Linked DNA regions of Oreochromis niloticus. The protein of the gene in region 3 purifies or fractionates together with the protein of the main gene of each other region. This does not show direct contact. Links are inferred from orthologs where the notes say so. Each region holds a gene or a part of one and is shown on either strand. Other genes may lie near its edges.

Region 1 (7,434 bases), on a different chromosome or scaffold from region 3:
AATATTGTCTGAACTCTTTTGGCTCCTATTAATAGAAGAAAGCCTTCCAAGGAGACAGAGTCTGTTGTGTTTCATGACTTTGTTTAGACTGCATGTAGAGCTTACTTTATTTGACTGGACTTGAGATTATTTATTTTTGTATTTAACAGAATGTTTTCTTTAAACAAATCAAACTTTAGTATGCAAAGTAAATACAAACAGACGCTTTGGTTATTGTTGACAGATGTGTGCAGTTAAAAATACTGTGATTTTCTCTTTTTATTACTCATTAATAATCGATCACTACAATAACCAGCAGCTTCAGCCCTGACATCATACACTAGACGTCGTCCTCAGCCAGACTGAAGCTTTCACTCAGAAACACAGCAGCCTCTCCGTCAGTGATCGAGGGTTATTCATTAACACATTGTTGCCAACGGCTGCTCGTGTGGCTACGACCACTCAAATTAGTTGTGGTTCTTTAAGCAAGGACAACGGGTGTCTGGGGTCACCCACATGCCTGGCATTCCTCCACTGCTAGTCCTGACGGTGGGAGAACGCGGTGCCCAGAAAAACCTCCACAACAATAACATGTTGTATAAACACCCAACAGTGAAGCATGAGCAACACAACCATTCGCAAAAAACAGCAACTGACCGTCTGTGTCGATTTTTACTGTTTCTAACAAAAACATCTGTTCAACCCTCCATCAAAGAGGAAGCAGAGCTGCCACTGGTGGAACAAAATCCCATGACCACTGGGTCACTAACAAACAGCCCGTCCTGGCTGTTATTGAAGGATTCATCAAACAGCATTATGGGAAAAGGCTCTCCTCTCATTCAGCTTAATGTTTGTTGCTGTGTTTGTTCAAAGTTAGCTTCCTACCACTCTGCCCAGTGTAACCATCTGACAGTGTGGCCACTGCTTTAAGGAAAAACACTTTTCAATAATTACTTGAACATCACCCACCCTCGTCTACTCCACTGAGCGTGGAGGACATGTGACACATTAGCTTCAGCTGGCAGTGCTCACAACAATTCTTTGACGCCTCTTGTCATATCTGGTTTTGCATGTTTTGCTACGATTTTCTGCCAAACTCAAGCCTTCAAACATGGTGGTTCACAGAGATCGTGTCACTATAGTGGTGTGCATGTGGTACACAGACTGTCACAGTAACATGCCTCACTCTCCAAACCAGGTATGTGCCCACTGTCCACTCTTCTAGCAACACTTTAACATTAGGAAACAAAAAAAACAGCTCTTGAATGACACTGCTTCGTGTATCATTTCCAGCTCATCTGCTGCATTTAAACATTTGCAAACATGTATATACTTTGAATTCTGCATGTAGTAGTGTGTACGTGGAATACTCTGTAGGTGATCGGTTTCTACATCTTAAAATATTTCACGATTTTCATTTCTTACTGTGCTAAAAATGGAGGAGGAAGATGGGAGGGAAGAAGGTTTTTCTGAGTGACAGAACATCACCTCCAGCCCGTTAGGGGGGAGGATGATGAGTGCTAGTGACACCATCCAATTTAGCTTGCTGCCTGTGCTCAGCTGTGTGCGGATGCTGCTGAAGCAGGAGTGGGAGCTGCATGGGTGTGGTGCTGAACAGCAACGTGGCACAGAGGTGGCAGTGAAGATGCTCTCATGCAGTCTAAACTGTAGCACACAGCCACTCGTGGTCCAATTAAAATCAGACTTGTTGTTAATGTGAGGATAACAAACGAAAGAAGGACTGGTGTTGCTCCGAACATGGACCATGACAAGCCTCCTGCTGAACAAAGAGCAGAAGTGCCTCCCCTTTGTTTGTATCCCTGAGCCAACATATCAGTGTAACATCCAGCCTGCAACTGAAGCAGCAGCAGAGTATATGAGGACCCCACGGGGGGGCTTTAATGACCTCTTTGTATATGCCAGCTGAAATCACGCTTCCCCACTCATCACCAGCCTCTCTGTATACACAAAGGAATGTCACACAATGAAGCGCAAAAAATAAAAATGCAGGTGAAGGCTGCTTGTACCTTTAAGAAAAGCCTTCACCTGTAACAGTCAGCGCTGGTTTTAGCGACCACGATGTTTTTTTAATGAAAAACTAATAAAAATCGGGGCTCAACACTCGCGAGCGCGAGCAGCAGTGCACGCGCCTGCCCTCGTCACTAATCGTGCTGGCTACTTCAAAGCTGCGTTTCCTTAAACACTTCTACTGTAGCCAACTACGCTGCTGCAAACATGCAGTGAAACGATGCAGCTCTGGCATTTACGCAGCAGCGACTTCAGCATTTATTTAAATGAATTTCTTCTTCAAAGTTACAGCAGCGCTCAACTAATGTCTGACAGAAGCTAACAGGCTAGCGTCTGCTCGTCAGGCAGAAAACTACTGAAGTCAACCAGCAAGTTACTCTTTAAGCATTTATTAACGTAGAATAACGGAATTATTTATCAGACTGAGATCAAAGGTTATTAATGCTCCTCAAGATGAGTCCTGACCAGAACACTAACAACGCGTTTGAGATAAGAAATGGTAAATACAGATATTTACATAAATCCCAGCAGGAAAAATGTTTGTTCCCAATTTCAATTAATGTTTGACAAAAAGCAAACATCCATCCGTGATGCGGCCAACTTTCTCTCAGCCACACTCGGACTGTTCCTTCAGACGGTCCGGTGCTGGTCCAAAGCAGGATCGGAACGGGTGACCAAAAACGAGCTTAGCACGCCGAACCGTCTCAGCGCCGTGTGACTTGTTGCTGCCTTTGTCCTTTTCCCCCAGACTATAAACATTCATCAGGCAGACAGCAGCAGACTGGCCGCAGACCCTACGCCATTTTAGTTAGACACAACCCGCTTCTTGGGGGTTCTTGAACAAAGAGCACTTCTAAGGGAAGCGAGTCGAACCAAGAGTGCAAGTTTCGACAAATACACGAGAACACCAACAAACGCACATCTACTGTGTTCATTTCAGGCCACTTACCATTATTTTCTTGTATCCTTGTCCCAAAAAGAAGGACGACCACAAAAAGCCGTACTGCACCCATCGTGGCTGTGAACCAGACTGCCACTCGACTGCTAACTTCTCCCTGCGCAGAAGAAGACGGCCGCTGATAGGCTGACGGAGCAACGAGCCCGCCTGGCCAGGACCTGCTCAGGAGCAGAGCGAGCTGATTGGCCAAGGAACGTGCGACACCCCGCCCACTAGAGCAACTGTAACGCGCCTGTAAACAAACCGTGTTCACTGCATTAACAAAGAATGTTATAATTTAGTTACATTCATATTACTTCAGTACTACACCGTGTTCGTATATTTCTAATAGAAACCAAACTATTCTTAGAGAATAGAATAATAAGTCTTACACAGGGGATATGTGATATATGATATATGCCCTATGATATATGCCCTAACTATATGCTTTAGCAAAAAAGAAAGTTTGAAGCCAAATCTTAAAAGTAGAGATAGTGTCTGTCTCCTGAATCCAAGCTGGAAGCTGGTTCCACAGAGTAAATACTCTGTAAGTCCGTAGTCTCTCTCTTTCAAACCCTTCTGCAAACTCAGGTTCTGGTCTGACATACATTTCTGTTTTCTATAAATAGTGAGTTATGTTTGCATCACACATCAAATATTTGTATGTCCTGTATCCCTTTGTGCTTCTTCTGTTATGAAGATAGGGAAGGCTTTTTTGCATTTTAAGGTTTGTAAATGCTTTGAACTCTCAGTTGGTTCACTCACTTCATAAAAATACTTAATTAACAACTAGTAAATACCTGAATTAGCCATGAATTACAAAATGAAATAACACCTATAAACCCTCATTTCATAATCTGTGTATGTATAAATGTGCATCTAAATATGCTGTTAATCATTTGCTTGGACTTTCTAAATGGCTTTAACAGCTCCTAAATAACTTGTTTGTAGTTACCAGAATGAGCAATAAGAACACGGTAAAGTAAAACTATGTCCAGGCTACAAACAGCTGCTGATAACAGAGCAATGAAGACAGCATACATAATAAAGCTGAGTGCTGGCCCCAGCAACGCAGCCATAGCTTCAACAGCTGCAGTCAAAATTGCAGCTTAATGCTTATCAAAGGTTATAGTTTCCTGGGTAAAGTTTATTATTATTATTAGTAGTAGTAGTAGTATAAAAACAGCAGACACAATTAATTTTAAAAAATTTAATCGGAATTTCAAAACACATCCAACCTACAGTATCTGCAAAATATGTAGAAAATTTGATTACATACAAAACATCTAGTATGACAGCAAAGAGAAACTGGTCAGCTTCACAGAGTTGAGAGTGTTTTTTCTTTGATTGGTGCTTACATCTGGAGAAGCAGACAGGAAATGCCATTATGGACTTCAAAATGTGACATTATTGACAAACAGTTTTATGTCAGAAAAGATGGCATTTGTTGCTATTCCATCAATTTTGTAAAAAAAAAAAAATTGTTTTTTACTATTAAAATCAAATATGGCAAAACTTAAAAAACAAATCAAAGAAAACTGAAGTAAATGATAAACGGACTGCTACTGGTACACAGTGTTGGTCAAGTTACTTGAAAATAGTAATAAGTTACTAATTGTTCATTACTTCTCCAAGAAAGTAATCCTGTTACTTTACTGATTACTTATTTTCAAAAAGTAATTAGTTACTTTATTACTTGAACATGATACACAACCTGAATATGTAATAAAGCAATAGACCTTTCAGCACAATTCTATTTTTTCTGCATAATAAATCATATAAAACGTAATCAAATGAAAAAGTCTCTTTTTAAAACTTTTTGATGCATTTTAATCTTTTGACTTCATGCACGTTGTATCAAACAAAAATTTAATTATATGCAACAGTCTTTGACTTAAAGAAATTTGTTTAACATTTAAACTTATTGTCTGCATGTTCCAGCATATGAAATAAAATAATGTTTTGTGTTTACACTCACTCTTTCAAATAGATGCAAGTAAAACACAGCAAAGAATAAATAAAATCAAAGATTCAGCAGCTTTGAGTCCTGTCGCTCTTAAATCTATTGTCACCTGTTTAGCAGGAGTGGGGTGGGTGGAGGTTTGCCCACAGCAGTCATGTCAGTGGGAGGATCCGGGGGTTTCTCTGTGAATGTCACATTCCCGTGGCAGCGTGCTCAGTGCTCACTCAGATTTGAAGTTTAATTTTTCGCTGTAAAAAGAAGTTTGCTTCCCACGCAGAGTGCACAGCGGACGGTAATGTTTTGGTCACTTTTTACGGACTAAAACTTAAAGTAATGCGAGTAATTCCACGCTTTAAACGCTGCATGGTCGTACTCTCTCCATCACTCCATTGTTGATCTGCACACATCTGTTGCTGCCACAGGCGCTGCACGTTTGTATGTCATTGTCATGAAACACTTTCAGTTTAGTAACGCAGTAACACAGCGTGCGTACAGGAATGTAACTGTAAGACTGAACTGTAATGACTGTAACTGTAACTGAACAGAACTGTAATGTAATTACTTTTTTGCAACAGTAACCCCTTACATTACTTGGAAAAAGTAATTGGATTACGGTAACGCGTTACTGCCCATCTCTGCTGGTACAGCTAGGTCCATAAACTTTTGGACAATGACAAACAATTTTTTGAAAGGTTTTTAAATCATACATCTACATAACAACTGTGATGGTCTGACATTCAAGTGGTGATTCAATCCAGACTTCGAGCGTCAATTCAAGGATTTTAACTATAAAGGACAATGTAATGTGTAGGAATTACAATCCATAAACTGTGGTCGTGGTACTTTAGCATCGAGCTAGTGCTACTGAACAGGACAGAGCATAAAGGAAGTAACGTTTTTATAAGTGGCAGGTCCTTTCAAATTCAATGTTTCTATAAATTCAACAAACAGAAAACACATTGCTGCACAGCGTGTTGCTAGCTAAAGCTACAGCTGTGGTGATTTCCAGGGAAAGAAAAGAGTGTGAGATAACTTCACTCAGCGATGGAGAAAGATATCAGAAAGACAGGACAGGAGGGGAAGAAGAGCAGTTATATTTGTATAGATTTATATTAACGATTACTGTGATGTACGTAGGACAGCATGGTGGTGTTAGCACTGTCACCTCTGTATGGAGGTTGCATGTTGTCCCTGTGTTTGCCTGGGTTATGTCCACGTACTCCCGCTTCCAAAGACACGCAGTTAGTGGGGTTAAGTGGGGATTCTAAACTGCCCACAGGTTTGAATGTGTGTGTGAATAGTTGTTCGTTTCTCTGTGTTAGCCATGCGACAGACTGGCGACCTGTCCGGGGTCTACCCTGTCTATCACCCTATTGTGTCTGAGACAGGCTCCTGCCCATTTTCTTGCTGAAGCATCCACCCTCATTTTGTCTGTATCCTCTTAGTAGATGGCAAGACATTTTTATCAAGAATGTCTTGGTACATTTTTCTATTTATCATTCCTTTAGTTATATAAAGTGTGCCAGGGCGCATGCTGAAAAACAGCCCCACACCATGATGTCGTTGGTGCGGTGTTTTGGGGTGATATGCAGTGCCTTTTGAACGTTGTGTGTACTATGGCATCAACTTTGGTCTGATCTGATCAGACCATACTCTCCCTGTCTGGAGCTCTCCACACGTGCTCCTTAGCTTAACTTTTTTGATCATTCTTTTTAGTCCTCTATTTGAAAACTTAAGGGAAGCACCTCATCATGGGCGGTTTATGGTGAAATGATGTACCATGGCCCAAGAGTGACTGCAAAGTGCCATGCCACACTTGTTTGTAATGAGCTTGTAGGTGCTCAGATGAGAATGAAGACACACTTTGACAAAACATCTGTTGCACTTGTAACCCTTCTTACAGTTTATTAATAAGAATAACTAAACTGTCACTAGGCCAATATCAGAGAATCTGGGATCGTCAGGAGCCCAAGGTATAAACATCAATAAGGAAGAACCACACCACAGTAACAGTGCACAAAATGGTATATTGGATAGAAGAAATCTGGTTTAACTGCATCAACATGTTGATGCAGAAATCTACAAATACCATGTACTTCAGAATAACGTTTCTGCTCAGGTATTATCAGTTCTTATGAGGGTAACGCAAGGATTTTGTTTTCGGTTCTCAACAAACTAATTCAACCCCCCAACGCTTTACCACCACACTTCTATTCTTCTGAGACCTGTAACTCCTTGATGCTGTTGTGGACTACAAAAATTAATAACATTCACCAGCAACTCAGTTCAAATGTTGTGTCTACGCCCTCTCCAGAACCTTTTCTCTATTTTGAGCCATTTTCCACTTTTCATCTTACAGATTTATCTGATATTTCTGAGGTTATATGTAAATCAAAGCCTGCCACTTGTCATCTTGACCCTGTGCCCACAGGGCTTGTGAAATCCTGCCTCTCTTCCTTACTCCCACTCATCTCTGCTATCGTCCACTCTTCACTCACCACCGGTATCGTTCCCTCCTTATTCAAGA
Region 2 (7,703 bases), on a different chromosome or scaffold from region 3:
TTCAGCAGATGGAACAAATATCACACTCTTGTCTATCAAACTGATCTTATTCAAACCAATAAACAGCAAGGTTTGTCAGCACACTTGAGGTTACATATAATCGGTTCTGATCGATTTGGACAGCGTGTTAGGACACCAGAGCCAAAATCCACATCAGTTTCCCTCATTTGCTCAATATGAATTCTGATATTGTTAAACTTGTGACTTTGAAGTGCTTGTCACAGCCAGCTGGCTCTAGTAAACATGGATGTTATGGAAAATCCTCCTCCTGTGCCAGTGAAGGGACAGAAATACTAACGCTTGCATCTTTACACATGATACCAGGCGTTGTCACTGGGTCAGCGGGGTCGAGTGGCCCTGCGTTTAAGGTTTTTCAAATCGTAGACCCCGTCCACTGCCAAAATCTAATCTGTTTAATAGAGGTCAGGGAGGTTCTGCCATAGATAACTGATTGATTGTGGAAATAAAGCTTAATCTCCAGCACACGCCACTTAAAGTGACATACAGCAGCGAGGCTGTACCTCTGAGTAACTCTAAACAGCCACATACATGTCATACACAAAAAGTCAAAACAGAGGTACTGGCAATCACTCTGAAGGCACCGACTTGCTCAGACACACTACACAGTACACACAGTGCTGTATACATGAACAGCGGAACAAACAAACAAACTCCCCTTTATTGGAAACTTGATGTCACAGGCCACTGAAGTGAGCTCTGCAACAACACAGAGCTGTTCAAATTCGACTTTCTGGGTCAAAACTGACAGGCACAATAAACCGCTGAAAAATGTGTGCAAATCCTGGCTTGTTTTCAACACACGCTCTGAACAAATATAATAAAATTACCCAAGGTATCATCTAAGTAATCTGCCCCACATTTATGCTTTGTCAAATCTTCATGCATGTCCCTTTGCTCGCACTTATTATTATTGCTCACCTTGCAGTAAAGATGGCTTCGGTAATCATTAACTGTTTAATCAAATGGTCAACCTTTCTCTATCACAGGGTATGAAACCAAGCCAAACAACACAGGACAAATAAAGCAGTGTGACAGAAAAATTTCCAAGGCCCTTTACTCCCCACCCCTAAATAATGCTGGTTTCTGCCTTGTAACTCTAGCACGATCTGCCTTTAAATCAAATGGAAAATGTTTGAAAGTTATATGAAATTGTTGCATTTAAAGAAAAGACGCAATATTCTGCAGTAAAGATGTGTCAAAGTGAAAATACAGAGACAACTTTGAGGAATCTTTTTCATGCAAAACAAGTGCAGATGCCCAAATGCTTAGTGCTTTGTTGTCATTTAAGCTACATTGCAGGCCTTTGTGGTACAACATGCATGCAGTTTGTGTGGCAGACTCTTTTACCTGGCCCACAGAGTCGACTGTAGTGATAGGGGTTGCAGCATACTGTTGGACTGTCCGGGGCCCCAAAGCTCCTACACTCACAGAGCGGTTTGAGCTGGGCAGAGTGCTGGAGGTCAGACCAGCGGTACAGTTTACACACAAGCAGCTGTGGGGATGCCACATGGCCGCCGAATCTCAGCTCTGTCCGTGAAATCATAACACAGTCGCTCGGCATCCCTCCTCTGGACTCCACCGCTTCTAGTAAGGTATCCAGCGCTTTTTCCTTGAGCCGTTTTAAAAGAGCGTATGTGGCTGATTTCAGTTCTTGCTCTAATACCGTGCGTGGCATCGCCTCCTGCGCCTCCGGAGAGTCGCTGTCTCCTGGTCCAAGGTTCCTCAGCCCGAAGTGACACGACCCCGGATCCCTGGTGCCCTGAGCCGTCTCTGCACCCCTAAGCTCGGAGTGGTCCCGGTCTTTAAATAAGCAGCACGTCACCGTCCTGCATTCGCTGTCCTGTAGCGAGCGGGGGCTGCCCTGCTCCTGGGCACACGCGGCACCCCCATCCTGGTCCGACGTGACCCTCGAGTCGCTGCTCTCCACGGGGCAGACACCCCCTATGTCCACGACAAGAGACCCGCTAGGGGTCATCGGTCTGAACTCCGTTTTGGGAATTTTCTCTGGGTTGTAGCTGAACAGATCGTCCCTACAGCCCTCACCAGTTTTGCCAATTCCATCTTCCCCTTCTTTATCTGGGATCAAACGGCTTCTCCAGAGTCGCCGCACAAGACCTGAGCGTTTCGTCCTGAACATACGACAACTTGAAAATCTATAAGGATTTTTTTTATTATTACTCTTGTACGGATATCCTAATATTAAAGACACTTCTCCGGTCGTTGCAAAACATTAATGACGCTGAAATGCCGTGCAGTGCATGCACAGCCAAGTGACGAGCATTGGTGGCAAAACCGCAACATTAGAATTAAGGAGATTTGGTTGCATCTACAACAGCAAAACCGAGCAACAAATGCACTGCACCATTCCGATCAAAAGGCATGAATTCAGCCGATTATAATGTAAATAAACAAACTATGAAACTGTGGCTTATTCTCCAGGATCGCTGTGGAATGGACTGTTTACAGCCTTTTTTTTCTTACAAGCAAATAAAAAAATAATCTGAACACATGAAAACATATAGTAATATATTCTATAACATAATCCAAAGCCAACAGCCTCCAAAGCAAGACGACAACTCGCTGCCTCAAACAGTTCCCGACTTTTAGCCACCCCAGTTCTACTTTCTACACCGGCACGTAGAGCATGAGGTACTTCGATGCGTTTTAATCCAAAGTAAATGCACCGCAAAGTCAGGATCCTTGCCGTCTTCTCGAGATGTCAGTGCACTTCTTCTCTTTTTAAAATCCAAACAAAACGTCCATGCGTGCTGAAATGAGCTTTACGAAGCCGATCGATCCGGGGCTGAGTAGAGCTCCTGCTTCTCTGCTCAGATCTAAACCAAACTGCAGCCCAGGTCCCGTTCTTTCTCCGTTTCTCGCTCTTTTTCTTTCAGCCCCCCTCCTCTCTCTTCCTCACACACACACTCACACACACACATACACACACACATACACGGGGCCCCCGAGGAGAGCGGTGGAGCCATTGGCTGACTACCATCATGTGCTAGTCTAGACACTTTGGCGGCTGAGCTGCACTGATTGTTGCGCAAACAAGGTTTCAAGTTTCTTAACTCTTAAAGGCGAAACACCCATCTCTCTTTTTAAGTTAAAGTTACAAAAACTTATTTACACCCACTGCACTTAGTATGTAAAGTTTTTACAGAAAGCGAAAACAAACAAACAATTGAGAAGCTCATATGCACCAATATGTGCTTTTATTTCTCCGCTGAAAAGTCTGATTATTTTCATTATTTATTTTGTTTTCTACTTCATTTTTTTTTATTGAGCCACAAACATGGAATTTAACTAGAAATTTTTAGAAAATAATCTAATAAAGTTTATGAGATTATGAAGAGTGAAGACAAAGCATCAACATAGCATAAAAGAAATAAGACAAAAATAATGATGCTGACACTCATCTTTCAGTCTGTCTTCACCTAAACAGGCATGAATAAATAATAAAACTACATGAACACGGAAACCCTGCAATTGCATTTACATAGGATGACGGACAGGACGATCGATCTTGCATTAGACCTAATCTTTGACCCATTGACCTCATTAGGAATTTTTTCTTACTGAAAATACAGTTTTTCTGCAGTTTTGTGATGACATCGCATGCATTGCCTTGCTGGGTGAAAATAAAAGCAGTGCTGATCACAGTAAATTCACACATCATGAAGTTTTAGCTTTGATTCAAAGCACCAAAATGCTCCCAATTTAAACTCGTAGTTTAAGTATTTAAATATGTAAGAATTATATTAAGTTAGAAACATTCTTATATATAGAACTTACACATTATACTGGGCTCAGGGCCACTTAGCTGGTTTTCTGACTGCTTTGGGTGTTCAGATCAACACAACTTTACTTTTGGATATTTTGGTCTTTAAGTATGCCTGAAGTCTAGAACCCACGGACCTCACCAAACGCTGTGTGTCATGTCTTGAGATGCTCTGCCAGGACTTGATTGTGGGTCTTTATGCATTCAGTTTTGTCCCCAGTAAATGAGAAAGACCAGGTGACTGAACTGGCCATTGAAGAGTATCCCATTTCTTTGCCTCAAAAAACTCTTGGATTGCATTTGCAGTATGGTTTGGGTTATTATCTACTTGGTCTGTGGAATGTAGTCCAATCAGTTTTGACTGAATCTGAGCAGAGAGTATAGCCCTGGAAATGTTAGTATTCATTCTGCTACTTCTATCAACAGTCTCATCATCCATAAACACGAGTGACTCACTTCCGCTAACAGCCATAAATTCACATGGGTTCACCATGTTTGACAGATGATGTGGTACGCTTCACATCGCGATCTGTTTATCTCCTTTTCCACGCTCTTCTCTTCCCATCATTCTGGTACAAGTTAATCTTGGTTTCATCTGTCCAAAGATTTATTTTAGAGCTGTACAGGCTCTTTTAGATGTTTTCTAATTAAGTCTGATCTAGTCTTCTTGATCTTTAGTGTGGTTTGCACCTTGGTGTAAAAACTCTGGATATCCATTTATGAAGTTGTCTCTTGATTGTAGACTTTGACAGTGATACTCTCAACTCCTCAAGAGTGTTCTCACCTTAGATGTGTTAGATGTTGTGAAGTTGTTTTACTTAAGCAAGAACATGGACACAACAACAGGTTTTCGGTGTAGCCGAGATGGACACTGCATGCATTCTTTTGAATACCTTACCAAATTGTTGATTTGGACACTCCTAGAGATTTTTCTGAGTCGCTGATGAACTTATTTCAGTTTTCAGAGCTCATTATCTTGCATTGGCATCTCTTTGGGCCTCATATTGAGAATTCCAGTGAAAAGCTACCAATTCCAGTTTCAGCACTTGGAATCAACTTGAGATTTTTTTATCTGCTTAATGTGTCATAGAATGAGGGTGCAGGCCTCACTGGTCTATGAAACTGCTTGTAGGTAAATTGTCCAGCTACTTTTGACAGTCTTTTGAAACCATGTAAAATGGTGTAATTCCTAAACAGTATAGGAACACTTTTGCAATATTTTAACTAAGCATTTGAACTATACACTGGTATCAGTATGGGAAAATGGGACTGCAATACCATACTGTGGGTGCTTGGATGTCAGTTTCAGAAACCCTTGCTATTTATGTACTAGTGAAGCAACACGTACTAATATGTTTTCGTAGTTATTTTAGATAACCCTCTCTGCTTTTTAGAACTTGCAAAGCTGCTATAGCAGCTTGTTTTAGTAAACAGAAATTACATGTGTAGAGGCAGTGGCCTTCACATTGGCTGGAGACACAACAGGTGAACCCTTACGCACTGACCTCCCCACGATTCGGCACCTCCTAATCTCAAGTTTCTTGTCTTGTCAAGACAGGCTGCAAGAATAAAAAAAACATAATTCAAGACTTAAAAGTTTAGTAGTAAACACTGCTGATTGGCAATAGAAAGCTTAGTAACTAAAGTTTAAACCCAATATTAAACTTGTCATGGAAATTAAATTATACCATGCTCAAGTCAACCATTGGTAATGTGCTAAAATGTTAAACAAGACAAATTTTTAACTCATATTAAGTGTACTTTAACCTGATAACTATCTTAGTAATGTTTGAATGGAACATATGTAATCTAAGGCTTAAATATAAAACTGTATCTCTTATATAAAGAGTTTCTTTATTCCAGTATTATAACAGGAACTATGGACACATTGACTTTTAAAAAAACTTCATAATAAACACATGCAGCTTTCACTTGAACACCTCTGAAGCTCTCCGGGTTGCTCCAGTGGAGACTCCAAGCTTTGGCTGCAGCAGCATACTGTGCCAGTGTCTGAACTGGAATCAGATTTCCCTGGCAGGATCAGGGCTTTGGGGCAGGGGGAGGTTACTGAGGGTAGACGTGGAGGCCCTCATGCCTGCACTGTGTTAGAGGCACCTGTTGCAAATGCATTCCCTTTTGTAACTCAATCACATGTCAGACAAGGAAAAGAAAACTGTTATTACAGAGTACTGCTTCATTTGAATCATGCAATTTTCAGTCAAGACAAAAGAAGACCCAGCTGGCTCATAAGTCAGTGAGGCTGTCTGCTCTGCCATGCTCGCTGCTGGAACAGATTCATGTGAAGCAAACCTCTGAAAGCATCAGGAGCATGCAGACATATTAGATGCTTTAAATTTGGTACAGCGTAAGTTACATACCGATGATCCAGTGACCCTGGGAGAGGGTCTTGACTCGGTCACTGTTACAGCGAGTTAACTAATGAACCTGTGTGAATATCTTTAAATCAACAGGACACTGGGATATCATCAAGGCAGAGGTTGGATTTTCACGCTGAAATAATTTTTTGTATTTGTGTTAAAAAATGCGTACCAAAGCAACCAGTTTGTGGATTTCAGTTTTTTATATATTTGTATGATTTGTTTATATGACGGCATGCATTTTTGAAAACAATTGTTTACTTTGTGTTCACCAAAGAAGACAGCGAACACTTTTGGAATAAGAAATGCCAGTAATGATTTCAAAACAACTTGACAATTTGTTTTATTCAAGTGTATTATATATCAATGCTGTTTCATTTCTGTTTATTTTATTCTATTTATGCACCGACATTTACTCTTGCAGTCATTGAGTATCATCATGCATTTGTCAATGTATAATTCTGGATCAATGGCAGACATCGGAAGCTACCAGCAGTGACTCTTCATTAATAAATTAGACTGCCCATCTGTTTAAACACTGGTCGGTTGAAATGCCCCTGAACTTTGTAGTTTTACACTTCAATGCCAGTAAAATCAGTTTGCAAACTGCACACTTAATTCAGTTCACGTATGGAGGACATATTTAATTTCAAAAGGAACAAAGAGAAGTTCTTCTTAAACATGTATTAAGAATGAAAAAGCTCATAGCAGCACATATCATGCCAATGTGATACCAACAAGAGTAGGCCAATGCAAAAATGGTATTTACAGCTCCACGATGGACTGTAAGAGGTTCCTACATGAGAAACTGTGATTATCAGGCAGAGCGGATGTTTTTTCTTTTTTCTTTTAAGTGACTTTTGTTGTGCATTTGATTATTCCAAGGTTTCAAAGATAGACACAGAAACGTCAAGACAACAGCTGTTAAAAATAGCACTTGCGATATGCATGTCCTCTTATAATGGCAAAGTGCTACAGTAGAACAATGACTGTATGATACATGCTGCCTGAAACAACCTGTGGCGTTTCATGTTTTTAAACATTCATAGGCAATATGCCTTATTAATTGTTTTTTATTGAAACAACGGATTATTTAAAGTGCTATCTTAAAGCTACAAAAAACAAAACAAAACAACAGCAAAAAAACCCCAAGCAAACATGGACCTTACTTTAATTGAGAAATCAAAGTTCTGGCATTTGAACTTTTCATTGTGCAGTTGTGTCTGAGCCCTGCTCCACTAATGCATGCTGCATGTGTGAAAGCGTGTAAGGGAAGACTTCTTCAAAGAGTAAGAGGTAACTGAGTACGAGGATCTAAAACAGGGCACAGCTGTTCACACAGGCCTGTCCCCTGGCCTTCCCCTCTCCCTGTGAAGGCCCAGTCCCATGCACCCCTGGAGACCCCTGGGTAATACTGCAGTGGTCACACCAGCTCAACTCTGACTGCATTTCAGACAAAGTGGGCAAGCGACTCATACACGGCAGAAAGATAGATTATACAAGTGATGCATCTGATGCAAGAC
Region 3 (7,874 bases):
AAAGTTGTGGAGTTGTAAAGTATTTTGTCTAGTATCAATTATATCGTCAGTTATATCGTTATCGCAAATTTTCAAATGTATATCGTGATAAATATTTTTGGTCATATCGCCCTGCTCTACGTGTTGCGTCCACTAACTTTATCCTACTGAATGACTGATTCTTTAATTCCTTTCATGGCATTTTCCACAATAAAACGCCATTCACTTACAAACAAAAACACCCTTTTCTCCACTATTTTTGACCTACTTATGTTCTGCATCTTGCCTTGACCGTATTTTTGCATTCAAATGTTATGTTTCACACGCTCAAAAACCAGAGATAAACAAAAACAGCTAGCTGTAGTGTGTTTTTAAAAAAAAAAAATATTACTACAGTTGCAAGTTTTTGGTATCAAAACTCACAAAATAAGCATATGATCAAACATATGGTGCTTTTTTCAAAATATTTAACACTGTGTACGACATAAATAATTTGGTTACATTGGTTTCAATACAGAAGCTACTTCTGACTGTTCCCTTCTCACAAGCAGTGGATGCACTAGGTTGATTTGGTAGAGTTTTATGCCAGATGCCCAACATAATGCAACCCCAGGGATTCATGTGTCTCTGGCTGGAATTCAACCAGTATCCTTTTGCTTCCTAAACTAATGTCTATACCGCATTACACAAGTTTCAAAATAATGAAAAGGAAAAAAAAACTAAACTAAGTATTTGACTTCCTTTGTTCTTCCATGTTATTCAAAGCAATACCTAAGCTTAAGAAAAAGATAACGAAGACAGGAAGACACAATAATCACTTGTAAACACAACAAAGTCTCTCAGATCTGACCCAGTGTCAAACATGCTTATGTCCCTATTGCACAAACACACGTGCATGCTTTTCAGATATACTGATGTTGAGAGGGGGGGGGGACAACCAACTCTTTCTGGCAGACTAAACAGAGCTGGCCAGCCTGGCAGCATTGCACTCCCATTGGCTCATTGCACATTCCTTACCCAATTAGAATTCCACTCATACCTGTGGAGGCGGGGCACAGTCAGGGGCAATAACCTCTGGTTGCATACAAGTTGAAAAATGGTTGACTAGTATACACACACATACCTTCTTTGCTTGCTTTCGTCTTAACTCATCTGATGAAACACTTTATGATAACATACTTCCTGTAGAGCTTATTTTACCAGAGTCGCTTACAGTAAACTTTACCATAAGAGGACACGATCTATTATAATCCCAGATGACTGCAGTGTTTTAACTGATTTTGACTAAAATGATTTGTTATCAGTTAATCTACCAATCTTAGTAGTATATAAAATACCCGCTTACAGTAGATACAATGATATAATCTATTTTGATCACTGATGTCACTCTTGAATGTCAAGAGTGACATCAGTGTCACTCTTGAATGTTAAGAGTGACATCAGTCCTTTGTTATTATTTCAAACAAAAGAAGTGGTGAACTGTTCTTTTGCAGATCTACGTGGCTAAGTGAGACTCGGTGATAACGTCAAGCGCAGATAACCTCAAACTGAAATGTATAAACAGTGGGATAAGTGACGAAGTGTGCTGGATCTGTTAGTCTGATTCCCGTCCTTATTTCTTGAAATCCACTCTTAGAGGAATAGTCAGTAAGTAAACAGCATGTGGGGAGCATTTTCAGCCAGCACTTCACCTCATCAGTGCTGACAGGCATTTGCTTTAAAAGACATCCATCACAATCATACCTTTGCAGTACACTGCTGCAATGCTCCATGAAAACCACACAAAGAAATATTTAGTCTGACGGAAAGCAAATTTTAGTGTGTGTTATTGCTCATTTTTGACTCAGAGGGACAAGGCGTCTGCTCAGTGGCTCAGATGGGTCATTTCCATTTGAATAGAGGCCCCTGGATGCCCAGTGGGGTTACATTATCAACAGTAGGAACCTTTGTTCCAGCTGTGACTGTATGTGGAGCGGAGGAGGAAACTTCTATATGACCTACAGGGCAGACTCCGACCCACAAACTGAAAAATAAAATAAAAAATATTTCAATTCGGTTGAATTAATGACCCCTGAAGAACAAACATGCTGCACTTCCTTCAGTGGGGACAAGTTCAACGAGTCCGACATTTGTGCAGCTACAGCTGACACAGCAGCGAAATGCCAATCGATACTCATTGGTAATCCGGACTAGGATGTCAAATCTAGCGGGAGATCAATTTTCATACAGGCTGCCGCTCGACATTTGCTCTCCCCCCCGCGTTACAGAGCTCGCCGCATTCGGCTGAAGCGGAGGTTTCGGCTGGTGGTCAGCACCCCCAAAAAAGGGTGTAGCTAGCAAGCGCTAGCGGTCAACATTAACCACAATGTTACTATTAGCTAGCAGGCTAAGAAGCCACTGTTAGTGGTTGATAAAGTTTTTGAACGTGGCTTTCAAGCGTCGGCATTCACCAAGACCAGTGGACTAGTCGCCTGTCTCAGCTGCAAAACTCACAGGACAGTGAACAGCTCCTTGGCTGTCCTCTCGGTAATTTACTTAGCATCTAAGCTAACGAGCTAGCACTCGACTGGTGTTTGCCACACAAAAACCGGATGTTTGGGCGAACAGCAGACTCGAGAGGCTCAAAGACACTTCGCGTCGTCTCGTTAGGTTTGCTAAAATCAACACGTTACCGAGCAAACACTGAGTTCCGGTTTAAACGTGCACAGTAAGCTCTTTCTTTCGCTCTCGCTTTTACCTGTCAGTCGGATTTTGATGCTGGACCCGTTCCTCCGACTCCCAGGATTCGACATCACTCCGGGAAAAACGATCACACAAACTTCCCGTTCGAGCCAGCCAATATCACAGTTTCACCAAGTAATGGAACTGCGAATAACTTCAGTTTCCACACATGCGGTTTGCTTTTGGTTTCCTCACGGATAAAAATGTATTATTTCACCGCAAAGTCTTGCGCTCCTTCGAAATCCGACAACACGGGAGAACATTTTCGGGCAGGCTCAAGCACGTACTGACGTATTGTTCTCAGTGTCTGTACAGTACGTGCTCGCTCCGGGAAGCGTGGGCGTGCCCGTGGTGATCAGATTCTTTCAAGTCTTTAGACATTCTGTTTTGGTTTTTACTTCAGTAATTAGGGCCCGGGCACTAAAAGTACGAAGACCCTATTGGAATTGCTCCGTTTATTATTATTCAGACAAAACAAGTGGCTTTTTGAGGGCTTTAACATATTCAAAAAAATAGAGAAAAAATAAAGAAATATTGCACACGTTTCAGGTCTGGTAAAAAAATTTTTTGGTATTTTAATAGTTTCGCATATGGGCGGTGCAAAATGGCTCTAGAGCGCCACCTATGCGTTGTTAAATAAAGTGCTATGACCATATAGTTTGAGCTACATGAATGAAATTTGGCTCACACGTGTAACATGCCAAGACGAAGAAAAAAATAATTGGGCCCATCAACGCAAACCCAACAGGAGGTCCACCATTTTGAATTGAATGTGAGATTTTGGCGCCGATTTTGCCATTTCCAGGCGTTATACTTTTGCGAACGCCTAGGGATTTGATCAGATCAGCTTCATATTTGGTCAGTGTCAACTACACACCTGGGCCATTTAATTTACAGCAGCATTCATTTTGTTAAAAAAATACAAAAATAGAACAACACACAGAACGGGCCAACATTTAGCTAAAAATCGTTTAACAACAATTATTGAGTTCAACAAAACTCAATAATTTTGCTGAAACGATACTGCTAGGTGGTTTGTTAGCTAAGCTGTCTCACCTTGTTCAGGGATATTAGCTTCAAGGGGTGGTGTAAAAAGCATTTTTTTTGCTTTTTTAAAAGTGACAGCTATGGATTAAACAGGATTACTAAACACAATTTTCACATAGTTTTCTTTTTCGTGTTCAACACGTCAAGCAAGCTAACACCAAGTGTGTTAGCAAACAAACTCATAGTCGATCGATATGGTCTGTGTGTGCCAGGCCAGCAGCCAAAGCAGTTAAGGTAAGAAGATGCTTCTGTTTAGAAATATATGACCAAAAGAGGGTATCTTAAGGTGTGAGACACCCCCTGCTACAGGGGAACGTCACTTACATTGTTGTTAAAAAGCATTTGCTCCCTTCTGGATTTTATGGACTCCAGTGAACCACAGTGAGAGCCATTAACCAGAATTGGAAAAGAACTTGTAACAGTGGTGAACCTTACCAGGAGTGGCTGGCCTACCAACATTCAGTGCATCGACGACTCATCCAGGAGGTCACAACTGAACCCAGAACAACATTAACGAACTGCAGGCCTCACTCGCCTCAGTCAGAGTTCATGATTAAACAATAAGAAAGAGACTGGGCATAAATGGCATCCATGGAAGTGTTCCAATGAGAAAACCACTGCTGACCACAAAGAACAAAAAGCCTTGTCTCACATCCGCCACAGCACATCTTGATGATCCCCAAAACTTTGGGAAAACATTCAAAAGTTTCAGAAGGGTTAAACAGTCCAAAATGCCTCCACAGAAATGTGCCACCACTGTAAAATGTATGATATGGGCGATAAATATAGCCACTATTTGCAGTTTTCACACAAACATTTTCGCACCATTGTACCACAGTCAAGTGTTGCATTATTTGCAGGTTTACACCATAAATTTAGAGAGTCGTTACGTGATGGTCCAAGGGGTCCCAGCAATTGGGGTTATAACTTAGTTGATTCAGCTGTGTGCCCTCTATGGAGCTGTAGAGGAGTACCGGCCCCTGGACGAGTATCCTGCCGAAGAGTTCACAGAGGTCTACTTTGTAAAGTTCCTTCCGTTCATTATGCCTAACTGGCAAAGTCTGAAGAACCTTCGGAATAATTTGGTTTTGTTTCGGCTCAGCAAAGCAACACATGGATGAGAAAAGTTTCTATGGTGGTGTGCTGCATGTGTGCTAAGTCCGTATAATTTTATATCTATAGGTTAGATTTTGTCTCTCAAAATCCACCACTCCAATGAACAACAACTTAGTTCCACCTTAGTCCAAGCAAACCCAAGTTAAGATAATCACACACACACAACTAGTCACTTTACATCTTTTCATTGTTTCTTTGTACATTTTCACAATCATTTTTAAATGATGTGGATTTTTGCACTCGAGTTCTGAAGAATACTTATTTTCAGCTGTATTTTTTTTCATCTGTTAAGACTTTTTTGTGTCTCATTTTATTATTGCAAAGTGAGAGAAAAGGAACAGAAAGAGGACAGAAAAAACTACCATGTCAGCCAAACACAGGAATTTTTTTTTAGGCAGATAAGTTACATATGTGAAGGTGTGAGAGTGAGCTTAAGTAAAAAAAGTATGATTGAGGAGTTACATTTAATTTTTTCATCCAAGGTCCCTTGAAGAAAAACAGACAGTCCCTCAATCCACTCTTCCATGCCGACAACGCCGTCTTTGTCTTATGTAGTGAAGACTGAATGACAGACAGTTACACTCACAACATGTCTTGGATTTAATTTTAGATTTTAATTGTTCGTACTGAAGAAATTGTTGAATTGTTGTTGATAATTTGGAGATTTAGTTTACTTGCCACCATTTTATTGACATTTTACTATTTCAAAAACAATATTAGCTCTGTTTGTGTCATGTGGAGGACCAAAGACCAAAGAAAAACACAGGGCTTAAGTACACGAGTACCATAGACGATACGATCATAGTCAGGAGCACGCCAGGGCTTCCAGCGGAGCTCCTCCAGCTGGCCAAAGGCTGCCTCCCGACGCTCATACAGCTCACGGTCTGCTAGGTCCATGTTCTGGATGCGATCTTCTGTCATGTGGAGGCTGTGTGCAGACACACGGAGTAAAAAGGTGAACTGAAATGCAACTTTACCTTCAAACTAAAACAGGAAACATAACACAGAAACGCGGACTTGACGAGGGGATACAGCAGACAGGGGAGAAAAAGCAACTAAGGAACACAGATCAGAAACTAGAAGGCAGAACTCAAAGTACAATACAAAACTCAAAACTCTGGGTCGACGACTCACGTCTCCTAATAGTTTGAATTTGATGGCACCAACATATCTCAAGACAGCTGAGAAGGCAACAGTAGGGTGCAAAAGTAAGTGGTACTAAAAAAGAAACAGAGAAACATTTTGCAACTTTAGGTTAATTGGCAGTAGGTCACTAACAAAAGTCAACATAGGGTTTTACCAACAGAGGATGACTGGATACATGACTGGATATATATTGAAAAAAAACCAAAACAGCATCGTTGAGAAACGGAGTTCCTCAGAAGTAAAGATGGGTCGAGGTTTGCCAATCTACAAAAAAAAATTGCATCTACAGTTTATGCAAATTCAAAATGATCATTGCATGCTGCCTTTATTTACATTTCACACAACGTCACACCTTTTTTGGAACTTGGGTTGTAAATAAATAAATAAATATAAATAACTGTAAACTGAATACCTCTACCCGTGATCCTGTCATCAGTCAGCCCAAAGATCCTGTGCAGCATGCTTAGGAAGGTCCCTCTGTCCAGACCGTGCACTGCTCTTCCAGAGTTGTTACACTCCGCCATAAGCATGTTAAAGTCTCAGATAAGGCACTCTGTAAAAAATGACTCGAAAAAACATGTTTTTGTAAGGTTTTGAGCTAAATGTGGAAAAATGTTGCCATTAATTTCAGCATGATTCAGTTTACAAACGTCGCCCCATAATGAAGAGCACTAAACTACCTATAACAAAGTTAGCCTAGTTTAGCCCGGGCTTATTGACGTGAGAAGTTTAACCGTCATACTCACAGTGCTCCACTTGTTTTGAGATGTTTTCAGCAAGCGTCTGATTTCCACATACTTTTTGCGATCTCCTCCAGACATCTCACATATAATAAGGCTCCGCCCCTGAAGATGTGCTATATTTGACATCAGCAACAGCGCCACCTAGTGGGAATGGGAAATGTCATGTTTTACACTTTGGGGTACAGTATAGAGGTGGGTGGCCCCAGCAACCTCACAATTGTCCAGTAAAAGCCTTAAGGAGTTGGTCTTGGGTTACACTGAAAACTGTGAGTTTTCGTCAAACCCCGGCGGATTAGCGAAATTCGATGTTTCGCCATGAAGAACAAAATTGCTATAACTAAAAGAAATTCAGTCCGATCGCTAACAAAGTTCACAGGCATGATAACACTCCCACCCAGAACAGATTGCTATGCCCATTGTCAGGAATAGTCAGAGCGCCACCTATTGGGAACAGGAAATGTCATGTCTTATACTTTGGTGCACTGCTCCTCAAAGGTTGAGCCCATCCACCGTGAAAGCAGTGGACATTGGTGGAACTTGGAAAGAAAAGCATCTGGAGTTGGATTAACATCTGTCCCTCATCGTGCTTCAGTGTTAAAATTGTGAGTTTATTGACTGGCGCACCCTGGTGGCAAGGCGATTCGCCATGAAACAGAAAGTAGCTTTTGAGGGGCTTGGAAAGCTCGAAAACTCTTGAATTTTGAAACACACCTCCAACGTGAGGAAGGCTTTCTTGTTATATGGTTGTTTTCATGGAATATTGCAAAATAGCTCCACAGCACCCCCTACAAAATTTCAGAAGACCAGCCCTGCCCTATGTTTCATCTACGTGTCTGAAATTGAGAGATGTTTTCAGGCCTCATACTTTAACGAACTCCTCCTAGGGATTTCATCACATTGACATGGTCTTCGAAGAGTGGAATCTAAAGACCTTGGTGATGCTAAATTGCAAGGCTTTTCACGTTTCGTGAAACCAGGTGGTCATGGCAACACGTCGACCTTCGATCAGAAGAAGCATTTAACTGTAACTAAAAGATACATTAGGCAATCTTTCTCGAACTTGACAGGCAGTAGGAGAGTCCAGCCCCGAACCGATTAATGTGCCATTTGTCATCAATGGTT
Region 4 (6,944 bases), on a different chromosome or scaffold from region 3:
ATGAACGCGTTCACGCATTACTAAAATATGACGTCTGAAAAACGAATAAACTGTGACGTGTGGTGCTTAGTGCTGTGCACACTGTTTGAATGTTCATGACAGCCACTGAATTAAAAGCTGAAATCTAAAATAATAAATCATCCGCCTATCTGACGTCGGGTTGCAGGGCCTGCAGCAGGGAAGCCCAAATCTCCCTCTGCTACCTCCTTCAACTTATCGGGAGAAACATCGAGGCGTTCCCAGGCCAGCCAATCGATATAAGCTTCCCAGTGTGTCCCAGGTCTACGCTGCGGCCTCCTCCAAGTAGGACATGCTTGGTCTAAATACTTTACCGAGGAGGCGACAGCTTTAGCTGTGTCCTTTCAATGTGGAGGAGTAGCAGCTCCCAAATGACTGAATTCTTTATCTAAGGGAGAGCTCAACCACCTTTCGGACAAAGCCAATTTGTATCCGCAATTTAATTCTAATATTGTTAACAAAAAGATTACGCCTAGATTTACAGATTCATGGTGTTTCTCAACAACAATGTGCCATCTGGTGGCAGATAGCTGCCTAACATTCAGGACACAATAATATATCGAATCATTATTCTGCCTGCCTGTCAATTCTTGCACTCTCACTACGATCAGCTGATTTCAGTTTGGATATGGACATTAGCTTTATTGCACAAAAGGATGAGAGCGCAATGGTAAAGTGGAGGACAGAAACAACTGCCTCATACTGTTAACACAACTTTGGCTCTTTGAAAGCACCTGCACAGCAAGCATGCTAACGCTAAGCTAGCCAAGAGCCCAGAGTGATGTTAAAGCTGAGTAAATGCTGACCCCAGACCAGCACCATGATAAAGTGAGCCACAGCTGAACATCAACAGGTAACAAACTGATGAACAGCCAGGCTGCAGCTTCTGTTCTACCTGTTCACGTTCCTACAGTAGAATCTCTGTGGTGATCACTTTAAAGTGTCTTATATTTGATTTGTGTCATCAGCTCTGTTTTCATACCTAAATGCTCAGAGAAAGCTCAGGTGTGTCCTCATTAGGACAGGGATTTGTGTTGGTGTGTGGGGGTGTAGCCTCAGGTTTATATTATTAATTGGTAATTATCAGACAGTGTTTCACATCATTCAACATGAAAGTAACGTAACGAATCCTAGGTGTAATTAAGTAACGTACTGCATTACCTTCAAGGAAAGTATTCTGTGTAATATGTGCATTAATTACTTATTTCAGTAATGACTGGAACACTGATCACAACAAAGAGGGGAACACCTCCAACATGCACAAACGTAATTAATTTGCATGAATACGATGTCTTTGATATGCTGCTTAGACATGGTGGTGACTCAAAGTGGAGCCAATGAGAATTGATAAGTGATATCTATAATGGAGAAGAAACTGCTCAATTCTTCCCCATCCCTGGTGATTACAGGACCAGTGCTGCTGGAAACATGTTTCTCACTCAGCGTCTCAGTAACAGCTCAGCCTCTTTGCTCTTAATGGTGTGCACGCTCCATGTGACAACATCCTATTCACTTCAGCTGCTGTGTTATCAGTCTTTTTGTTTATAACTGGGGGCTGTGTGGGCTTAATGTTGTTATACTTTTTATTCACACGCTGCCCCTAAGTACGTTTCTGTTGCTGGTCTGTTTTTAGTCGCACATGTGGGTGAAGCACTCATGCTACAGAGTGGCGCAGCAAAACCTTTTATAATCGAATTACTCGATGAATTGTACACTATATTGTTACATACTTTTTGACAAAGGATTCAAACATGTATAAAGAAGGAACTTACACATCGGACTGTTTAACAATTTGTTTAGGAAAGCACACAGGCTTCCACTGTGGGAAATCAGCACACAGATATCTCCAACCTCCAAACCACCACTAATCCCAAAGAACCCCAAGAATTATCTCACTAAGTTTATAATGGTAGACTCATAATAGCATGCTTCCCTGCAGCCTGTACAGCTAACATTAGTAACTTTAGTTATATTTGGTGTGTGGGAGAGTAAATTAGTTTTTATGTGTAGTAAACAAATTCTATGGTTTAAATATTCAACACGTGACACAATTAGAGAGAAAAAAAAAGAGGTAAAAACAGAGGAAAAGCCCATTTCATGTTTTGTCAGACGTTTAGGACGTTTCACTGAAGCCCACACCCTCTGCCTTTTTCCGCAAGTTGCATCTGCTCAAAGTTTTATGATCTCAGATAAATAAGTACATTAAAAGAGGAAATAAATAAAACGCGACGGTCAAGAAATAGCATTGAAACCCGACAGGAGCCAACAACACGTAGTTCCGGATGCACGCAGTGCCGAAAGAGTCAAGAATTACGGATAGAGGATAACTTAAGCCAACACTCACAATCCTTCCTCAGTTCTCTTGAAGTTTAGAACTTTAAATTTACAAAGTTTCATTAATCTCACTCTACTACACTAACTTGCTATCATTAGTTAGCTAGCTAGTTTGCTATTAAAGTTCCTGCCAGCGTAAAGCCAGCGAGGGAAAACATAAGCGATACCCAATACTTCCTTCAAAATAAAACGGCCTTTTTTCGAGGAAATGTTTCGCCTCAGCTTTGAACGTACGCGTCTTTATTTTTTAAAGCCTTGACCAGAAAACACCGGCCTTCGTACCCACTGCTTTACAACTTGACTTGAAGTTCTCCAAAGCAAACAGCTAAGTGAAAGTTAGCTAGTTAACGTTAGCTACTTATCTGCTCAAAGCGCCCTAGTCGTTTGTTACAAGTACAATAAGGAACAAAAACACATACGCGTTACTTGTTTCACAAGGCAGCGAAAAGAAGAAAGCAGCTACCACAGCGACTTGTCGTCGTTTAATTCCACGTTTTAGAGTTACTCTTTGTTCGCTTACCTTGGTCGAAGGTGCGGTGTCTGTCGCCTCTTGCTCTGCTTTGCGATGAGCGTTGCGTCACCAGCAGTTTGAACTCAGCGGACACCTAGCGGCGCATCATGCCCTCCTCCGTGAGCCAGCACAGGAAAGACGGTTGATTTCTCCACTGCGCGTCACATACATGACACTGAGCGTTCACTCAAACATGTGGCAACATGTTAATAATTTGATTTTCATAAGACGACCGAGAAACAGCTCAACGGCGTTACTGCTAACAACAAATATGCACTGTACTGTAAGAAAGCAACATTATTTGACAGCAGTAACAAAGCTCTTTTTAGAATATAATAGTTTTAAAGGAATATTAAAATAATAATACACATTCAAAGGAAATCAAGAAAGCTTTAAACTCAGCAAACAATAAAGTTACAGCTATAAAATATAGGCTATTCTCTGCATAAAGAGAAATGAGTTGCCTCAAGTTTCGCAATAATATTTATTTTTGCTCTGTCCGGTAGTTAAACACACCCTGTTTTCTCTTTAGGATCCAATTTTAGGATAATGCATAGCTGGACTGGCCATCGGGCATACCGGGCATTTGCCCAGTGGGCCAATAGTGATTTTTCGTTTTTATGGGCCGATGGGTTTTTTGTTTTGTTTTGTTTTGTTTTTGTAACGGTATAAACAATGAAAGGTGGTGGATTGGCCAAATGCTGGTGTAAAAATAACTGAGTTGTTTGGTGGTGGCTATGGCGGAGCTACCATAAAGGCCAGCAGGTGGATGAGGGAAAGGGTAGGCAGGAGGAGGAGAGACCCGAGGCGGCCACCGGTCCGAGTGTCAGGTGAACTAAACTTCAGGTAAGAAGTTATGACCTGCAGTCTATCCGGGTCAGATATAAACCAAGTTTAGGTGGAGTTTATTTTCATTGTACTGACTTTTTACAGTCAGTTACAATAACTTGTACTGCGTGCTAGCTAGCATGATGGAGTTTCTAAACAGCTGGGTGGGTGCTGTGATGTTACTGATAGTGAACTTTATTTTATTCATGAGGTTAGTTAGTAAAGTTGCCAACCGTCCAGTAAAAAACAGAATCGTCTGGTATTCAGAGAAAATATTACGCGTTTCGTATTGAGGTGAAAAGGAACACAGTTTGTCCCGGACTTCAGCTAGAATGGAAAAGACACAAAGCTGGAGTTATTCTGTCTTTACGCTGCACAGCTGCCTCTTCTTCTCTCATTCTCTCCCCCTCCCTCTCCTGTTTCTACTTCAATCATGAAACTGATCAATGATCAGCTGATCGGCTTTTCTGTCTTGTTTGTTTATCGCCCACTTTGCGCCAGAAAGAGGAAACCAGCGGATGTCGCGTTAAACAACAGCAGCACCTTTAAGCTTGATCAGCTGTTGTTAGAATTTATTTAATATTAATTTCTAGTGTCAGCTGATGTTTGCTGGAGCCACAGCTGTAAAGCTGCTGGTCATGATGTCGGTTTGGATATGTGGTGAGAGGGAAACATGCAGATGAAACCAGGAGATGTCCTTACTGAATCATCAGAGCTGAACAGGTGATGGAGAAACAGGTTTACCTTTTAGGTGACATGGATGAGTTGAAGGGAAGTTATGAACTGTTTCTGAGAGACAAATAACACCAGGATGCTTTTCTATGTAGCTGACAGCTGGTAACTGTGCAGGGGCGGGTCTAGCAAAGTTTTGCCAGGGGGCCAGGTAGGGCATTAACAGGGAAAGGGGGGCACAAAGAAATACTTTTCTTTCTTACTCTCATTTAAAATGTCTCGCTTTTAAAAAAATAATTATCTGAATCTTAAAACCAAAGTTTTCATCTGATGTAAAATGTATAGAAATCATAAATATACCAAAAGACAGGGTACATCACTGTCACAACAGCGTTTGTTTTCATTCAAAGGCTTTATGGCTTTTCCTATAATACCTGGTGGGCCGGTCTCTAGTCAAAATGCCCGGGCCGATTTTTTGTCCCAGTCCTGCCCTGGGATAATGTATTGCTGGTAATGCTGGGAAAAGTTTCACACAAGTGTAAATGGATCATTAAAGATTCATAGGGTAGGGTAGACGGCTTGTTACACTTTCTACGCATGAATTGCTGATAATTGATACGCCTTTCAATAAACATTTCTCTATTAAATCAGAGCTTAAGGTGCTGCCTCCAAATGGGAAATGTTTTCATTTTTGCATTTACTTGGAACTAAAAGCCATTACCATCAACAACAGTCTGATACATTGTATGGGTATGTTTCCCCTACATAGATAATAATGGGGTTTTAGTAAAATATAATTTTTTGAAAGGATACACACGTAAACACATAGTAAGGGTCAAAAATTTTAGAACACCCCAGTTTTTCCACTTATTTATTGCAGTTCAAGTCGTTCAAGTCCAATGAACAGCTTTATATGGTACAAAAGTGGTGAACTGCCAGAGGTTAAAAAAAGGCAAGGTTACCTAAAACTGAAAAATAACGTACATTTCAGAATGATACAACATGGGTTAACAATTTAATCTGTTCTGCAACAATGGAGATTGATCAAGCCTTGAAAGCTGCTGCTACTAATTCCTACTGCTGTTCCAACATTTCTGGATTACGTCCAACCTCCTCTGTCTGCATAAAAGCAGTGTTGGAACACACTGTGGTACCAAACCCTCGTCAGCATCAGTTGAACAGTGTTGTACTGTAAGGTGTCAGAGACTACAGTTTCCTTCACCATCCAAAGGCTCAGAAACAAACTGTGACAAGAAGAGGTCTGCAGACCCAAAGACACAATCAGAGGACAAGTTTCTGAGAGTTAACAGCTTGTGTGATCGGTGGCTCACAGGACAACTCCAATTGCTTATTTTTACTATTCTTTCATTTCAGAGTGCAATGAGACATCAAACTTCATAATTTTCCAAAAAAATCTGGAAAAATTGGGGTCTTGTATAGCTTTTGACCATTAAAAAAATTATTTATGTATGTTTTTTCAGATAGAGATGTCAGTAAGTTTAAAAATGAACACCACCTAATGCCCCCATGAATTTGAAGCAGTGATAAATACTATGAAATATTTTACATACGAGCAGTGAAAGGAATGAATTTACAGTACTATAATCCTGTAGCTATTGTTAAAGCCAAAACAACCCAACTGTGGACAGATTCCAAATTCCATGGCTGTAATTTTTGTATTTCTAACTGATGTGTCATTGATATCATTACAAAGGACAGCCATGGAATTTGCCTACGTCTTTTTTGCAAGATTGAGAATAAAGATGAACAACATTAATATTAAACTGAACTGCTCTCCATATTAAATCGTGATGCTCAATCATCCAGGAAAGGAACGTCTTATGGTCTCTATTTAAAGGTTGCTAGTCTTGATCCAGTAACTCTATAACTCACTCAAAGTCACACAAGTCAGAGGAGTACAATCTCTGTGAGATCAGTTTATGCTTCAACACAAACTATTGTGCCAAGACATAAAGAAACAAAAACCCACTGCCTTTCCATGCCCTCTTGATAAACATTTGAACCTAGCTAACACATGGCTTTAGCTTTTAATAACTCTCCTTTAAAAAAAAATCTACTAATATTGTATTATCTTTTAATATAAAAACAACAACATGAAAAATGACCCTGGTCCATAAAAAGTACAAAGTACTTCCTCTCCTCAAACTTTTGTATTTTCCACAAACTGACCACTCCAAAACACAGACAGACTGTCAGGTCAACAGTGTCCTCTAATGTGGCAGCAACAATGTAGCAATGTGGCATCCAACCCAACTCTACCCCACAGTGTCGGTGTCCTGCATAGGCCAGTTTAGACCCTTCTTTGGGTGCTGAAGTGCCCCCAAATGTCATCACAGCACACCTAAAAATAACTATCAGTAGTAAGAGTAATGTATAGTATTAATTTCTGGCTTTGTGTTCACCTACAGGATAGAATGAAAACAGGTTTAGCGGTCCAGTGTTGTTGGTATCATACTGTCATACTCACACAGAGGTGTTGTGTGTGACACAAACTGGTGCTGTATAACTGGTGCTTTTTTTACTCCGGGAGAATAGAAAAGCACTATATAAGAATCAGTCC

What was found.
Region 1: the proteins of smurf1 (region 3) and tgfbr1b purify together in Homo sapiens (affinity purification with western blotting; 3 studies listed by BioGRID). This does not show direct contact. The link is inferred for Oreochromis niloticus from reciprocal best matches to the Homo sapiens genes SMURF1 and TGFBR1.
Region 2: the proteins of smurf1 (region 3) and smad6b purify together in Homo sapiens (affinity purification with western blotting; 4 studies listed by BioGRID). This does not show direct contact. The link is inferred for Oreochromis niloticus from reciprocal best matches to the Homo sapiens genes SMURF1 and SMAD6.
Region 4: the proteins of smurf1 (region 3) and stk38a purify together in Homo sapiens (affinity purification with western blotting; 3 studies listed by BioGRID, with this or other methods). This does not show direct contact. The link is inferred for Oreochromis niloticus from reciprocal best matches to the Homo sapiens genes SMURF1 and STK38.

The regions. Positions count from the first base shown.
Region 1 is NC_031974.2:34,527,563-34,534,996, reverse strand, and holds the start of tgfbr1b (transforming growth factor, beta receptor 1 b precursor), read right to left. Parts: upstream 3,021-7,434; coding exon 2,957-3,020; intron 1-2,956. UniProt on the Homo sapiens protein: Transmembrane serine/threonine kinase forming with the TGF-beta type II serine/threonine kinase receptor, TGFBR2, the non-promiscuous receptor for the TGF-beta cytokines TGFB1, TGFB2 and TGFB3.
Region 2 is NC_031972.2:51,546,167-51,553,869, forward strand, and holds the start of smad6b (mothers against decapentaplegic homolog 6b), read right to left. Parts: upstream 3,021-7,703; 5' UTR 2,159-3,020; coding exon 1,369-2,158; intron 1-1,368. UniProt on the Homo sapiens protein: Transforming growth factor-beta superfamily receptors signaling occurs through the Smad family of intracellular mediators. SMAD6 is an inhibitory Smad (i-Smad) that negatively regulates signaling downstream of type I transforming growth factor-beta.
Region 3 is NC_031969.2:10,628,765-10,636,638, forward strand, and holds the start of smurf1 (E3 ubiquitin-protein ligase SMURF1), read right to left. Parts: upstream 3,002-7,874; 5' UTR 2,772-3,001; coding exon 2,717-2,771; intron 1-2,716. UniProt on the Homo sapiens protein: E3 ubiquitin-protein ligase that acts as a negative regulator of BMP signaling pathway. Mediates ubiquitination and degradation of SMAD1 and SMAD5, 2 receptor-regulated SMADs specific for the BMP pathway.
Region 4 is NC_031984.2:35,168,893-35,175,836, forward strand, and holds the start of stk38a (serine/threonine-protein kinase 38), read right to left. Parts: upstream 3,021-6,944; 5' UTR 2,873-3,020; intron 2,841-2,872; exon of another isoform or gene 2,772-2,840; intron 1-2,771. UniProt on the Homo sapiens protein: Serine/threonine-protein kinase that acts as a negative regulator of MAP3K1/2 signaling. Converts MAP3K2 from its phosphorylated form to its non-phosphorylated form and inhibits autophosphorylation of MAP3K2.